Linked DNA regions of Callithrix jacchus. The main gene of each other region encodes a partner of the protein of the gene in region 2 in a complex. Links are inferred from orthologs where the notes say so. Each region holds a gene or a part of one and is shown on either strand. Other genes may lie near its edges.

Region 1 (3,521 bases), on a different chromosome or scaffold from region 2:
CAAATGCAGTCATGTCCTTAACCACCCACATGCATTTACTATTCCTGTACACCAGAGCAGTTTCCCAGCTCTTAGGAAGAAAGGCACAATAGAAATTGTACAGTTTAGAAGTCGTTTTCTTGTGAAGAAGTAGGTTCATAGCCAGGGACCTTGCTGGCAGTCACCGTTGCCCATTTCCCCTTCAGGCCGCCTCTATCCAGGCTGCTTCTGTGCTTCCATGGCTTTTAGTTCAGCATGTTAGATGCTCCCTGGATATTCATTCTTAAGACATTTAGAGTATCTCAAACTGGTGTTTTGTACCAGAATGGAATAATTTCAGTGGATTGGGAAGAGGCAAGCAGCAGGCCAAGTTAATTATTGAGATAGTTATGAATAGAACTGGGACCAGACACACAACGGGGAATGACAAAATATTAACGCCGAAAATTAAGGGCACTAGCAGTCTCTTTAATTTTAAAGGAGAAAGCTACTGGGAAAGAAGCAGCCAATTGTCCTTTTTCATCTCTATTTTGTTACTTGAAAACAATTATTGATGTTCCTCCCAGCCACATTTCCTTTTAATTATCAGCTTGTTGTGGACATGAAGACATGAGAGTCTTTCTTTAACAGCAAAAGATAACACAACTCAAGTATTTGCACAGATGGACATGTTCTCAGCTCAAGGCCCTTTACTTCCTTTTGAATATCACTGCCCCACTAGTCAATGAGGATGTTCCTTCCACATTCTTTCTAATGAGATTTGAGACTTGTTAATATTAGTAGTGTCGGCATAGTATGGATCTTCTCTAAATGCAGAAGAGTCTCATCTGTCTTTGTAAGTCAAGATTAGCCCCTCATGCCTTCCTGACCTTTATTTAGTATTATTTTCTCCATCAGATTCCCTTTGTACTGACTCCTGTCTTTCCTGTATGAACCCTGGCTTAGAACCTGACAGAGTTCAACACTGCCCACAACAAGCGGATTTCTACCCTTACCATTGAAGAGGGAAATCTGGACATTCAAAGACCAAAGAGGAAGAGGAAGAACTCAAGGGTGACATTCAGTGAGGATGATGAGATCATCAACCCAGGTGAGGTGTCTTGCTAGTTCATTCTGATGAAAAAGCTGTGATTGGCCCAGGCACAGTGGCTCATGCCTGTAATCCCAGCACTTTGGGAGGCCAAGGAGAGTGGATCACTTGAAGTCAGGAGTTCAAGACTAGACTGGCCAACATGGTGAAACCCCATCTCTACTAAAAAAAAAAATATATATATATATATATATATATATATATATATATATATTAGCCTATATATATATATATATAGGCTGCTTTATAATATAATATATATATATTAGCTGGGTATGATGGTGCTTGCCTGTAGTCCCAGCTGCTGGGGAGGCTGAGGCAGGAGAATTGCTTTAACCCAGGAGGCAGAAGCTGCAGTGTGCGGGGATTGTGTCACTGCACTCCAGCCTGGGCGACAGAAAAAAAAGAAAAAGAAAAAAAGCTGTGGTTGGCCAGGCATGGTAGCTTATGCCTGTAATTCCAGCATTTGGGAGGCTGAAGTAGGTAGATCGCTTGAGGCCAGAATTTCAAGACCAGGCTGGCCAACATGGCAGAACCCTGCCTCTACAAAAAATATAAAAATCAGCCAGGAGTGGTGGCACACACCTATATAGTCCCAGCTACTCCAGAAGCTGAGGCAGGAGAATCGCTTGAACCTGGGAGGTAGAGGCTGCAGTGAGCCGAGATCATGTCACTGCACTTCAACCTGGATGATGGAGTGATACTGTCTCCAAAAAAAAGTTTCCAGGGTGGGACCTAGAAGTTTATATAATTTTTAGTTTTTCTTTTTTTTTCTTTTTGAGACAAGATCTCATTCTCTCGCCCAGGCTAGAGTGCAGTGGCACAGTCATGGCTCACTACAGCCTTAACCACCCAGGCAGGCTCAGGTGATCCTCCCACCTCAGCCTCCTGAGTATCTGGGACAACAGGTACATGCCACCATGCTCAGCTAATTTTTGTATGTTTTGTAGAAACAGGGTTTTGTCATGTTGCCCAGGCTGGTCTTGAACTCCTGGGCTTATGCAGTCCTCCCGCATCAGTCTCCCAAAGTACTGGATTATAAGCATGAGCTCCCATACCTGGCCGAAATTTATATTTTTATATATATATATATGATTTTTTTTGAGATGGAGTTTCGCTGTTGTTACCCAGACTGGAGTGCAATGGCATGATCTCGGCTCACTGCAACCTCCGCCTCCTGGGTTCAAGCAATTCTCCTGCCTCAGCCTCCCGAGTAGCTGGGACTAAGGTGCACACCACCATGCCCAGCTAATTTTTTTTTTTGTATTTTTAGTAGAGATGGGGTTTTACCTTGCTGACCAGAATGGTCTTGATCTCTTGACCTTGTGATCCACCCACCTCGGCCTCCCAAAGTGCTGGGATTATAGGCGTGAGCCACCGTGCCCGGCCTGAAATTTATATTGTTAATGAGCTCCTGTTTGTACACAGCCAGCAGTTTGGGAACCACTGGACTAGACAAATTTCTTAAGTCTTTTTCAGGAGTGAGGACCGGGTCTGCTCTGTTTTTCTCATTGAAAGTTAGTGCCCTAGAGCTTTCTTAGGGAAGGGTATTCCAGCAGTTAGTATAGTGATTAAGAGCATAGGCTCTGAAACCAGAGGGACAATGAAAGAAGATTGGGGTACCTTTTTAGAGACATTATCTCTCTCTGGGATCCTCTCTAGGATGGGAAAAAAAAAAGAGAGAGAGAGACGTTATCTCTTTCTTTTTATTTTGTTTTTATTTTTTTATTTTTTTGAGACGGAGTTTCGCTCTTGTTACCCAGGCTGGAGTGCAGTGGCGCAATCTCGGCTCACCGCAGCCTCCGCCTCCTGGGTTCAGGCAATTCTCCTGCCTCAGCCTCCTGAGTAGCTGGGATTACAGGCACGCGCCACCATGCCCAGCTAATTTTTTGTATTTTTAGTAGAGACAGGGTTTCACCATGTTGACCAGGATGGTCTTGATCTCTTGACCTCGTGATCCACCCACCTGGGCCTCCCAAAGTGCTGGGATCACAGGCGTGAGCCACCGCGTTATCTCTTTATTGATGAGCTTGGATATTTTTTCCTTTCTCTTCAATATAGAAGCCATTCATTCACTGATCATAGATTGATTGATGGTGAGCATAATAGCAGAGTGTGCTCTTTAAAGGCATCTGAATATGTGAAAATCCAGACTTAAAGCAAACAAACCCAAGGCTAATTCTAATTACTCAAATTAAATAGGGATTCTTTGTTTTCCAAGGGGATTCCTGAGAGTGTTTCTTTCAATAACAAGCAACCTCATTTAATATATGATTGCTGCATCTATTAGGGAAACTATTGCTATATTAAGTTAATTGGGGCTTGGAGTAGTTTTCTTTAGTAGTGATACATAAGTTGGTGCCTGCCTGTTTCTACACATTAAACATTCAGTGAGCCGGGCGCGGTGGCTCATGCCTGTAATGAGGTCAAGAGATCGAGACCATCCTGGTCA
Region 2 (4,309 bases):
ACTTAGACTGCCCTACTTTGGATCACATAACTGCAACCCTGAACGAAATGAAGGACTTGGTACCTGACCCAGAAGCCAGTCATCTTTAAACCAGTCACAGAGGCTTCCAGAGACCACAGGTGGCCTGGCCCAACAAAGGGGGTCTACAGGTCCAACCAGGAGCTCTCTGGAAATTTAAAATTAGAAGTGACAAAATTAAAAATAAGCAGACAAGGCCGGCCATGGTGGCTCACGCCTTAATCCCAACACTTTGGGAGCCCGAGGTGGGCTGACCATGAAGTCAAGAGATTGAGACCATCCTGGCCAACATGATGAAATCTATCTCTACTAAAATACAAAAAAAAAATCAGCCAGGCAAGGTGGTGCATGCCTATAGTCCCAGCTACTCTTGAGGCTGAGGAAGGAAAATCACTTGAACCCAGGAGATGGAGGGTGCAGTGAGCTGAGATCATGCCACTGCACTCCAGCCTGGCGAAAGAGCAAGACTCCGTCTTGGAGAAGAAAAGCCAGTCACAAGAATGAAGAGCAGACCTATAAGTTACTCTTGAATCACTGGCACTTTGTTGCTATCATAAAAGAAACAATAAACCTGTATAAGCCTCCTATATCCAAAATTGTTTTTGATACTTATCTCCTGATTTTTTTTCCCTTGCTGTCACCCAGGCTGGCGTACTGTAGTACAATAATGGTTCACTACAGCCCCAATCTTCAGGGCCCAAGCAATCCTCCCCTGGCTTGCCATACCTCTCCATGTGTACGCCACCACACCTGGCTAATTTTTGAACGTTTCATAGAGACAGGAGTCCCTAGGTTTCCCAGGCTTCTCCTGCACTCTTGAGCTCAACTGACCCTCTCCTACCTTGGCCTCCCATAGTGCTGGGATTACAGGAATGAGCGACTGCAACTGGTCCTGATCTAGCCTTAAGTATAAACCTTTACCACCTGAGCAACAATGAACACATCTTTTTATCATCCTTAAAGAGCCTAATGAGCATACATGCCCAAGAGAAAATTTACCTTCTGATGGATGCTCAAAGCCACAGTCGACAATGGCCCGGAGCAACTCTGGCTTGAGCAGGAAGTCACGAAAGCCAGAGCTGTGGATGGAGACATAGGAGCCCTTGACATCCTTCTTGGCAGGGGCCTCAGCCCCATCTCCCCCAGCTGCTGTCTCCACCTCATCATCTTCATAGTCCAAGAGCTCATTGTCTACATCGTTCTCTGCCATAACTGGGCCGGCAGGGGAAAAAGGGAAGGGGGCTCTGGATGGGTTCTTGGAAAATAGGTGAAAACAAGGGGTGAAAATTAGGGGGTTGATGAACAGCAAAGGAAAGCAAAGATACTAGTTTCTAAAAGAAGAGCTGCAGGGGGGGGGAGAAAAAAAAAGCAAGATTTAGTCATAAGCAGAGCCTTCACCTCCTCTTTTCCATCCCCAGTTCCCACTTCCCCTAAACTGGGAAACTTTTACCTGGAAAGAGAAACAGATACAAAACATACAAGCGAAAAGCAAATAAAACAGCATAGAAAAAGCAGTCCCAGGGAAAATGCTTAGGACACAGGATCCCAACAAGATTAGCAATCCGAGTAGCAGAAACCAGAAAAGTTGGAACAGGAAGACCAACTTATACATTCTTGATCTGGGCCGGGCGCAGTGGCTCACGCCTGTAATCCTAGCCCTTTGGGAGGCCGAGGTGGGTGGATCACCTGAGGTCAGGAGTTCAAGACCAGCCTGGCCATCATGGTGAAACCCCATCTTTAAAAATAAATAAATAAAAAGAAAAAAAAATAAATTCTTGATCTGAAAGTAACAAGGATGAAACAAAATAGATAATAAAGGATAAAATACTACTAATAACTTGGAGAAGTGGAAAATGGAGATGACAGAGTCCGAAAAATCCTCATAGGACCGCGCTTTCCCTATTATAATCCCAACGTGCAGATGCCTAACTCAGCAGCCATCAGTCAAGGGTGATAGATGAGGGTCATCACTGCGCAAAGCGCTCACCTTTCGAAAGGAAAACATCATATGGCCGCCGTCCACCTCCCACTTCTCAGTACCCTCCCTTCCGTTAAGATATCCTTGTGTAATTAGCATGGGGCGGGCAGTGCAAGACAAATGGCTCAGCAACAACAACAAAAAATTTCACGTCTCCACCCTACAATAAGCTAAGAGTTGACAGAGAAAGGCAATCCCCACCCAGGCTTCGACAAAATCTTTACCAAGTGGTCTCACATCACTGTTGCGCTACGAAGGTGAGACTCCTTTCTGAGAAACATACAATGACACCAATCGTAAACACTTGGAAGGCACTCCAGATTAGGTTGGGCAAGTCGAGGTGAGAAAAATCCAACCGGCTCCTCCTCCCAGCCCCATCGTGGGCCGAGAAAGGGCCCAAAAAAAGACAAGGAAGGTGAGAAGAGCCCCGCCCTCCGCAAATACCAAGACCAAGGGACGCCTAGCGCCGCCTCTCATTGATGATGAGGCCTCCAATATGAGAAGAACCCACTGGATGAAGGGAGCAAAGCGAACACAATGGCGCCGAGGACACCATCTTGGATTGGGCCCCCTCTTAGCTACCCTTCCTCCCCCCAGGAACAGTTTGCTCTCGAAAGGGATGCAGGCTACAGAAATAACGAACCAACTAGGCCCCAGCGATCAGACCAGCGCCTGTGAAGAGGGTATCAGGAACCCATGTGACGGGATGGGTACGGAGAAGCGCAGATGAAAACGGATTGTAGCGAAGGCCGAAGCTTACCTAAGCAGGGAGAGCGCGTATGGCGGCAGCAACAGCGACGAAGGAGGGAAATCTGCCTTCACTTCCGGTTGCAGCCTTCTCTCTACTGCGGCCTCCCGCCTTCTTGGCTGCAAGAGCGCAGGCGCAAAGGACCGGAAACAGGGCCTTCCGCAGTTGTATGGATCCGCGCGCTCCAGGCTTGCCTTTGGAAAATGCCTGTCTGAAATTTGTTTTAAAACCATTTCTAACTTCCCTGCTACCGCCAGTAACAAAAGTTATAAAGGAAACTAACATCTCCTCCCACTGTTATCTTTCTGATCTTTTTCTACTCTTCTCCATGCCCCTCATCTCTTCGTTTAGGTTTTTGCCACGCAGGTCTTCTCTCTAGGCACCCCTCCATGGACGCGCGAGGAACGAGAGTGGCAAGGCCTGCGAGTTCCCACGGGGTCCTTGGCCCTGTAGTGAAGGTGACCTGAGGGCGGCTGTGCACGCACTAGGAAACGGCAGGCCCTAGCTGAGGGAAGTCTAAGGGAACTGGCGTACTCGTGGGTGTTGTCCGACTCTTTCCCTGTGGTGGGGCTGGTGGGCGGCATTTTCCCAAAACGATGCTGTCCTAGGTAGCTGATCCCTAGGGCCAGTGAGTCCGGAAGGTGTTCTGAATCCGAACGGGAGACTGGGTCTGGATTCTCCCCTAAGTGTTAATAGTAGGGCCTGAGGGTTATACTACATTTCATTAATTTTGTTTTTTGGTTTGAGACGGAGTCTTGCTCTTTCGCCCAGGCTAGAGTGCAGTGGCGCGATCTCGGCTTACTGCAAACTCCGCCTGCCGGGTTTGAGCGATTCTCCTGCCTCAGCCTCCCGAGTAGCTGGAATTACAGGCGCCTCCACACCCAGCAAATGTTTGTGTTTTTAGTAGAGATGGGGTTTCACCCATGTATGACCTCAGATGTTCCACCCACCTCGGCCTCCCAAAGTGCTGGGATTACAGGCGTGAGCCACATCGCTTGGCCCATTAATTCTGTTAATTTGAGCAGAAGTTTTTGGCCCCGCCCCAACAGTCCCGTTGTTCAGCCTGGATTTTTTTCTGCTTGAAACATTTGACTTCCCCGTCTTTGACATGGGGAGCTACAAAAATAAGACATAATGTCCTGCTGTGTAACATAAATAACAAACGTTTGGCCTTCTCCCTGTTAGCACATTTAATACTAAGGAGTAAGTACCGTTATTCCCATCTCATTGACAGAGGCAAAGCAACATGTCCCAAGGAGTACGGCTGGTGAGGTTACAGCCAGGATGCAAACACCTCTAATTCTCTATTGTATTCTGCCTCCGTGCTCAAAGAATCTGGTTACTAAATACCTAGGGGTTACCTCATTAGTTCAAATCCTTGGTGAAGCAAGCTTATCTTCAGTAATAAAATGAAGTAGCTGATTCAAGAATGGTGTCATAAAAGGGCTGCTTTCCCAAGTATCATTTAATTTATTCAAAAGTATTTACCAACTGTCTACCCTGTGCCATGTGCTGTCCTAGCATCTGGGGACACAGCAGTGAATAACCCTGTTCTCACAGTGTTT
Region 3 (2,203 bases), on a different chromosome or scaffold from region 2:
TGATAAGTTTAAAGAAAGATGAGATAACGTTCCAGAAGGGTTTCTGATAAACTTAATTTGAAAACCATCTTACTTTACACCCTGATTATCTGTACCCTTGTTACCACCTGCCTATCTTACTAAACAAGGTTATGTATTTTAATTATAAACTTAGTGAATCTCAAATCTTAGGTTCAGTTAAGGTTTTCTTTTTTAACTATAGTTGTCAGTTAATTACTTTCCTTTTTTGATAGAATAATAATTGTTCAAATAGCATTTAGAGATGATCCTGTGACAAGGGATTCATTATGTGTGCTTTCCATGTGTGGCTTTCTACCCAGTGTCTTTCCTGTTTTCCACATTTCTCCTCTTTCCCTGCCCTTCAGCTTTTCTCAGCTAGGCCCTGCAACTCTAAGGGGCATTTACTATAGCACCTATTAAACTTATTTGTAACTGTCTCTCTTTTTTTTTTTTTTTTTCTCCTTTGGGCCAGGTCGGGGTATGATAGGTCGGGGAAGAGGGGGCTTTGGAGGCCGAGGCCGAGGCCGTGGACGAGGGAGAGGTGCCCTTGCTCGCCCTGTATTGACCAAGGAGCAGCTGGACAACCAATTGGATGCATACATGTCGAAAACAAAAGGACACCTGGATGCTGAGTTGGATGCCTACATGGCGCAGACAGATCCCGAAACCAATGATTGAAGCCTGCCCACCCTGCCATGAGAGACTCTTGTTAGTCCACACGTCTGTAAATAGCCTTGAGATAACAGATGAGAAGAAATCTGATTGATGCTGGATGGACCTATTACAATAGGCTATGGACTTACTTGCCACCAGCTTGTGCATTTAGTGTGTTCCTTTTACTTTTTGATACTGTATTGTATGAAGCCCTTTTGTCCTTTGATTTGGTTTTTTGTTTTTGTTTTCTTTTTCGGGGGTGGGGTATTTTCCCCTCCTGTACCCAGACTTCTCTTTGAACACAAATGCATTAGCCTTGTGGCTAGAACACCCTCTTCCTACCTCTGCCTTCCCTCACTTGTCAGATGCTCTGACATGCTAACATTTCTTTTGTTGATCTCTGTTGCCCCCACAGAAAGGTCCCAGAAAAAAAAGTGTTCCTCCCTGATGCTTAGATTTCTGAGGTAGGGTTCTGTCACATCCTCTTCAATAGCCTCTTTAAAATGTTAAGAAAGTCTGGAGCTCAAAGATGCATTCTTCCACATTGATAATTTAGTAAATGAGCACATTGACATCACTACAGGGCAGCATAAGAGGTTGCTTACATGTGATAGCAGCTCTGATTTGGTCAAAGTTGCTACCATGTACATTGACACATGTATAACCAGCATGCTGGGTTGAGTTGTACTAGATTTCTACCATTCTGTGAGATTTACACACTTTCTCTTGGCTTTGTATCCAGGAGGGTACTATAGGGTTGGTTTATACCTATAAATAATACAGAGGAAAAAGCCATTTGATTTGGTAGGTGTGTCAGAATGGAGAATGATGGCGGATGAAGTGCTGGAAGAGGTCAGAAAATATCCATGCCAAAATGTAATTATCCTCATTTTATCCCAAACCAATCTCGGGACTTTTCCACTCACTAGCTTTATTTCACCCTTATTTCCCTTGAAAGTTTAAGTTCAACCAATTGTAACTGTTCCAGTTTCAGTGGAATCTTGTATTTCTGGTTCATTATAACAAATTGTTTGCTCAAATCCACCCAGTACTCTTTATTTGGAGCGCCTCAAAATGCTGTGGCTACTTTAATGATGTCTTTTGAGACGGAGTCTTGCTTTGTCGCCAGGCTACAGTACAATGGTGTGATCTTGGCTCACTGCAACCTCTGCCTCTGGGTTCAAGCAATTCTCCCTCAGCCTCCCAATTAGCCTGGATTACAGGCACACGCCAGCACACCCAGCTAATTTTTGTATTTTTAGTAGAGACGGTTTCACCATGTTGGCCAGGATGGTCTCCGTCTCTCAACCTCATGATCCACCCACCTCGGCCTCCCAAAGTGCTGGGATTACAAGTGTGAGCCACTGTGCCTTGCCGCTTTAATGATATCTTTATATACCCCTTGTGTGGTTGAGAGAATCTCTTCCTGCTTGTGTTAAAATTCTGGAGAGACTGTGGCTTTAGCAGAAAGTGAAGAATTTGACTTCCTCTGAGCCCTGCAGAAATAATATGCCCACAAAAAAGCAAGATCATCTTGGGCAACATTCTG
Region 4 (3,521 bases), on a different chromosome or scaffold from region 2:
TTCTCAGACAGAGGGAAAAGCCTAGCCAAAAAGAGCTGAATTCGTCCACAGAAGACTGTATTCTGGGATTTAGATAATCTTCTTAGGAGATCTAACAATATACGAAAATAAACGTTACACAGGATAATTCTATGTTTATTACAACCATAGAAACTTATTAGAAACTTTTAAGTTTCTAAACCAGTTTGTCAAGAGTATTTTCCTAAAGCAGTTCTTCAAATGGGAGCAGAAACCACTGCCCCCAAAAAGTACTATAAATTAGGAACAAAACAAGTTCAACAGGACATGAAAAAGACAAACTTTACTATAACGTTTCTGATTTTCATCAAATTTACATCCAGAACAAAAACAGTTTAAAATGAATGGTGAGTTCTAACAAATCAGAATGTTAGTTGAAAATGCAGATACCTAATCTACCTTCAAAATGTTATCACTGGTATTTAATTCAACCGCCTGTTTTTCTGGGCACATTTACATTTTAAAAACAAACATTTTATCACTCAATTACTTACCATTGCACATGCGTAGTAAGTAATTTTTCCCAGCAGAATAGAATGTATTCTGAAATTAAGATGGAAATTATCACTCTTCTTCAGAATTTGTTACACATTCTTCAATAATAAGTCACAGGAAGTCAAATACTAACATGCACTGAGAATCTACTACGCCACTTTCACTTTTTTTAAGTGAATAACATTTTCAATGAAATAAAAATATTTTTCAGATATACAAGATAACATGATACTAAGTAATTGTTTTAAACATGTGAAAGTGTACATTTTCAAGTTAATTTTTACTACTCAAATTAAATCAAATTTTGTATTTCAAGTTTTTCTCCACACATGGTTTTTATTTGGCTCTACCAAGAGAGCAGTATATACTTTTTTCACAGTCACAAACTTGTTCGTGATCAGCAATACTAGAAATAAATTAGAAAAAAAAATCTATCCTCAGAACTCTGGATCTATAGACAGATAAAGTTAGCAGGAAAAGAAACTAAGGCACTTACTGATTTCCAAGTAGCAACATTTTTTTCCACAAAAGTGAATATTGTGTCACACTGATCCAAAGGAAGACAATCCAAAACATCTCCCAACAATACAAAAGGTGTAGATGCAGTACAAATACCTTCAAGTGGAGCACAAGCCAATTTAAAAGTGTAAAAAACTATAGAGTAAAAGAGCCCATAAAAAATAATTCTGAAGAACATCTTAAAATGTACACTTTGTTACTCATAACAAGGTTTTTAAAGGAAAAGAAATGGAAGCAATCTAAAAGTCCCCAAACAGGACATACTTAAGTAATTTTTGATATGTGCACTCAGTAATGATAATTCTTGACAAGATCTAGAGCATTTACTATATGTCAGGCACACTAAGTGCTTTACATATACTAACATATTAATCCTTATAACCCTATGAGGTAGAGCATATCATTATTTGTATTTTATAGAATGGGAAAACTGAGACACAGAGAGGTTAAATAACTTGCCCAAGATCATAGAGCCAGTAAGTGGTAGAGCTGGGATACGAACCCAGGCAGTCTGGCTCCACAGTCTGTTTTCTTCACCACTAAGCTATTCAAAAGAATATAATGCAGCCAATTAAAAACGATGGTTATAATGACTATAACAACTTGGAAAAATGCTTATGATATAATGCGAAGTGAAAAAGGCAGGATTCAAAACTGTATGTACATATGGTTATGACATTAAAAAATTATTAAAAGACTATAGAAACTAAACCATTATACCAGATGAATGGCAGTTTTTAAAAGTAGAGGAATTATGAGTACTGTTTTCCCTTTTTCTCATTTCCAAATGTTTTGTAATGCTGCTAAATTGCCTTGGTGATTTGAAAAGATTATCTTCAAAAAATAACAAGGTTTGATACTGATTTTAACTATTATTTAATATTTAAAATGATAGGACTGTTTCAGGGGAAAGAATGGAAAAGTAGAAAGTTGCTGTTTAAAGAACAAAATAAAAATTTATCTTAAGAAAAGTTCATTTAGACTACTCAGAAATACTTTTATATCCCTACTCATTCTTCTTTCTATTTTAAGGTAATGGGTACTTACTAACACTCATAAGTGTTTAAGAAAAATAGCCACTTAGGCATGGTATATGGAGGGAAAATATCTAGGGTGCTCTAAGCCCCAAATGATCTATTAATATAGTATGTCCAGAAAAAGGAAGAAATATTTCCAGCTCTACTCTGCACTAGTAAGATCACATCTGAAATGCGATGTGAGGGATACTGCCTAAAAGCAGTGGGTGGAATAAAGAACAGATTTCAACTCAATACAAGGGAACACACCAATAACTAGTTCTGTCTAACAGGACTCTAACAGTGAGTTCCTCTAATGAGCATGATTCAGCAGAGCTGGATGACTACCCATCAAGGATGTTACAGCAGAGAAGCAGTCTGGGCTAGAGATGAGACTGGACTAGACAACCTCTGAAGTCCCTAACAATACTTAGATTCAGTGATATTATATATCCTGCACATCCAAAAGATTTGAGAAGCATACTCTCTGCCCTTAGTTGCAGTATAGCCTGGAATAAGTAAACTCACATTTAATAATTATAGAACTTAAGAAAATTTTCTAGATTCTACTGCCAAAGATTCTGAGTCAGTAGGACTAAGTAAGGTTTGAGAATCTCATTTAAAAATAGATTCACTGGCGGTTCTGATGAGCCAGCAAGTCTGGGAACCACTGGGTTATAGTGTGATCCCCCAAGAGCTTTCACAACCTGTGCTCCAGCTTCCATACCAGCCTCTCTTCTTATCTTTACCTGGGCTACAGACATCCCTCCCTGGTTCCCACTCCCCAGTTCCCAAACACCATGCTATGTTCATCCTTCCATGTTTTGTTTACAATGTTATTTTCTGCCTAAATATTCTTCCTCATCTTTACCACAGGGTACATTTCAACTCCATCTTTCTAAGCACAGAGTGAATGTCAGCTCATCTAAATAACTCTGATATCTTGAAGCAGGCTACTTCATTTACGCTTTTTAAGCACACTGTACATAAATATACTGTAGAATTTAGCACATCCAACTAGTTACCTTTGAGTGTAGACTATGAGTTTTTTAAGAGTAGGAATTTTTGTATGCTTAAGCCAGTAGTGTTTCACACTGAATAGAAGCTCAATAAATATTGGCCAAATTGAATTTAACAAAATATATTTATGGATAATTTAAAAACATGTCACATAAGCAAATAATAATCTCTCAAAAAGAAAAATTCCCCCTAAAATAAAAATGCATTTATGCCTCTACAGTTTAAGCTCTTAAGTCCTTACCCTTCTTAAAAGTCTCAAGTACAGACTACATTTTGTACAATGTTTTCCATTAAAAACATCAAACACACACAAGAGTAATGTATAAAGTCAATAACCTAAGAACAGACTGAAAATTGATGGAAACCAGACAAGGAATATTACATTGTGGAACTCATCTAACTATGCCTAATGAATGAATGCATGATTAGGCATCTCGTATAAAAGTTTAACGA

The links.
Region 1: DDX39B (region 2) and PPP1R8 share a complex: the UniProt entries of both Homo sapiens proteins name them as parts of the spliceosome. The link is inferred for Callithrix jacchus from reciprocal best matches to the Homo sapiens genes DDX39B and PPP1R8.
Region 3: DDX39B (region 2) and CHTOP share a complex: the UniProt entries of both Homo sapiens proteins name them as parts of the transcription/export (TREX) complex. The link is inferred for Callithrix jacchus from reciprocal best matches to the Homo sapiens genes DDX39B and CHTOP.
Region 4: DDX39B (region 2) and THOC1 share a complex: the UniProt entries of both Homo sapiens proteins name them as parts of the transcription/export (TREX) complex. The link is inferred for Callithrix jacchus from reciprocal best matches to the Homo sapiens genes DDX39B and THOC1.

The regions. Positions count from the first base shown.
Region 1 is NC_133508.1:64,505,571-64,509,091, forward strand, and holds part of PPP1R8 (nuclear inhibitor of protein phosphatase 1), read left to right. Parts: intron 1-924; coding exon 925-1,069; intron 1,070-3,521. UniProt on the Homo sapiens protein: Inhibitor subunit of the major nuclear protein phosphatase-1 (PP-1). It has RNA-binding activity but does not cleave RNA and may target PP-1 to RNA-associated substrates. May also be involved in pre-mRNA splicing.
Region 2 is NC_133505.1:39,026,373-39,030,681, forward strand, and holds the start of DDX39B (spliceosome RNA helicase DDX39B), read right to left. Parts: upstream 2,811-4,309; 5' UTR 2,757-2,810; exon of another isoform or gene 2,640-2,756; intron 2,569-2,639; exon of another isoform or gene 2,221-2,568; intron 2,032-2,220; exon of another isoform or gene 1,954-2,031; intron 1,362-1,953; 5' UTR 1,229-1,361; coding exon 1,018-1,228; intron 1-1,017. UniProt on the Homo sapiens protein: Involved in nuclear export of spliced and unspliced mRNA. Component of the TREX complex which is thought to couple mRNA transcription, processing and nuclear export, and specifically associates with spliced mRNA and not with unspliced pre-mRNA.
Region 3 is NC_133519.1:14,065,740-14,067,942, forward strand, and holds the end of CHTOP (chromatin target of PRMT1 protein), read left to right. Parts: intron 1-472; coding exon 473-678; 3' UTR 679-1,694; downstream 1,695-2,203. UniProt on the Homo sapiens protein: Plays an important role in the ligand-dependent activation of estrogen receptor target genes. May play a role in the silencing of fetal globin genes.
Region 4 is NC_133514.1:63,767,203-63,770,723, reverse strand, and holds part of THOC1 (THO complex subunit 1), read right to left. Parts: exon of another isoform or gene 1,535-3,521; intron 1,129-1,534; coding exon 1,010-1,128; intron 562-1,009; coding exon 513-561; intron 92-512; coding exon 1-91. UniProt on the Homo sapiens protein: Component of the THO subcomplex of the TREX complex which is thought to couple mRNA transcription, processing and nuclear export, and which specifically associates with spliced mRNA and not with unspliced pre-mRNA.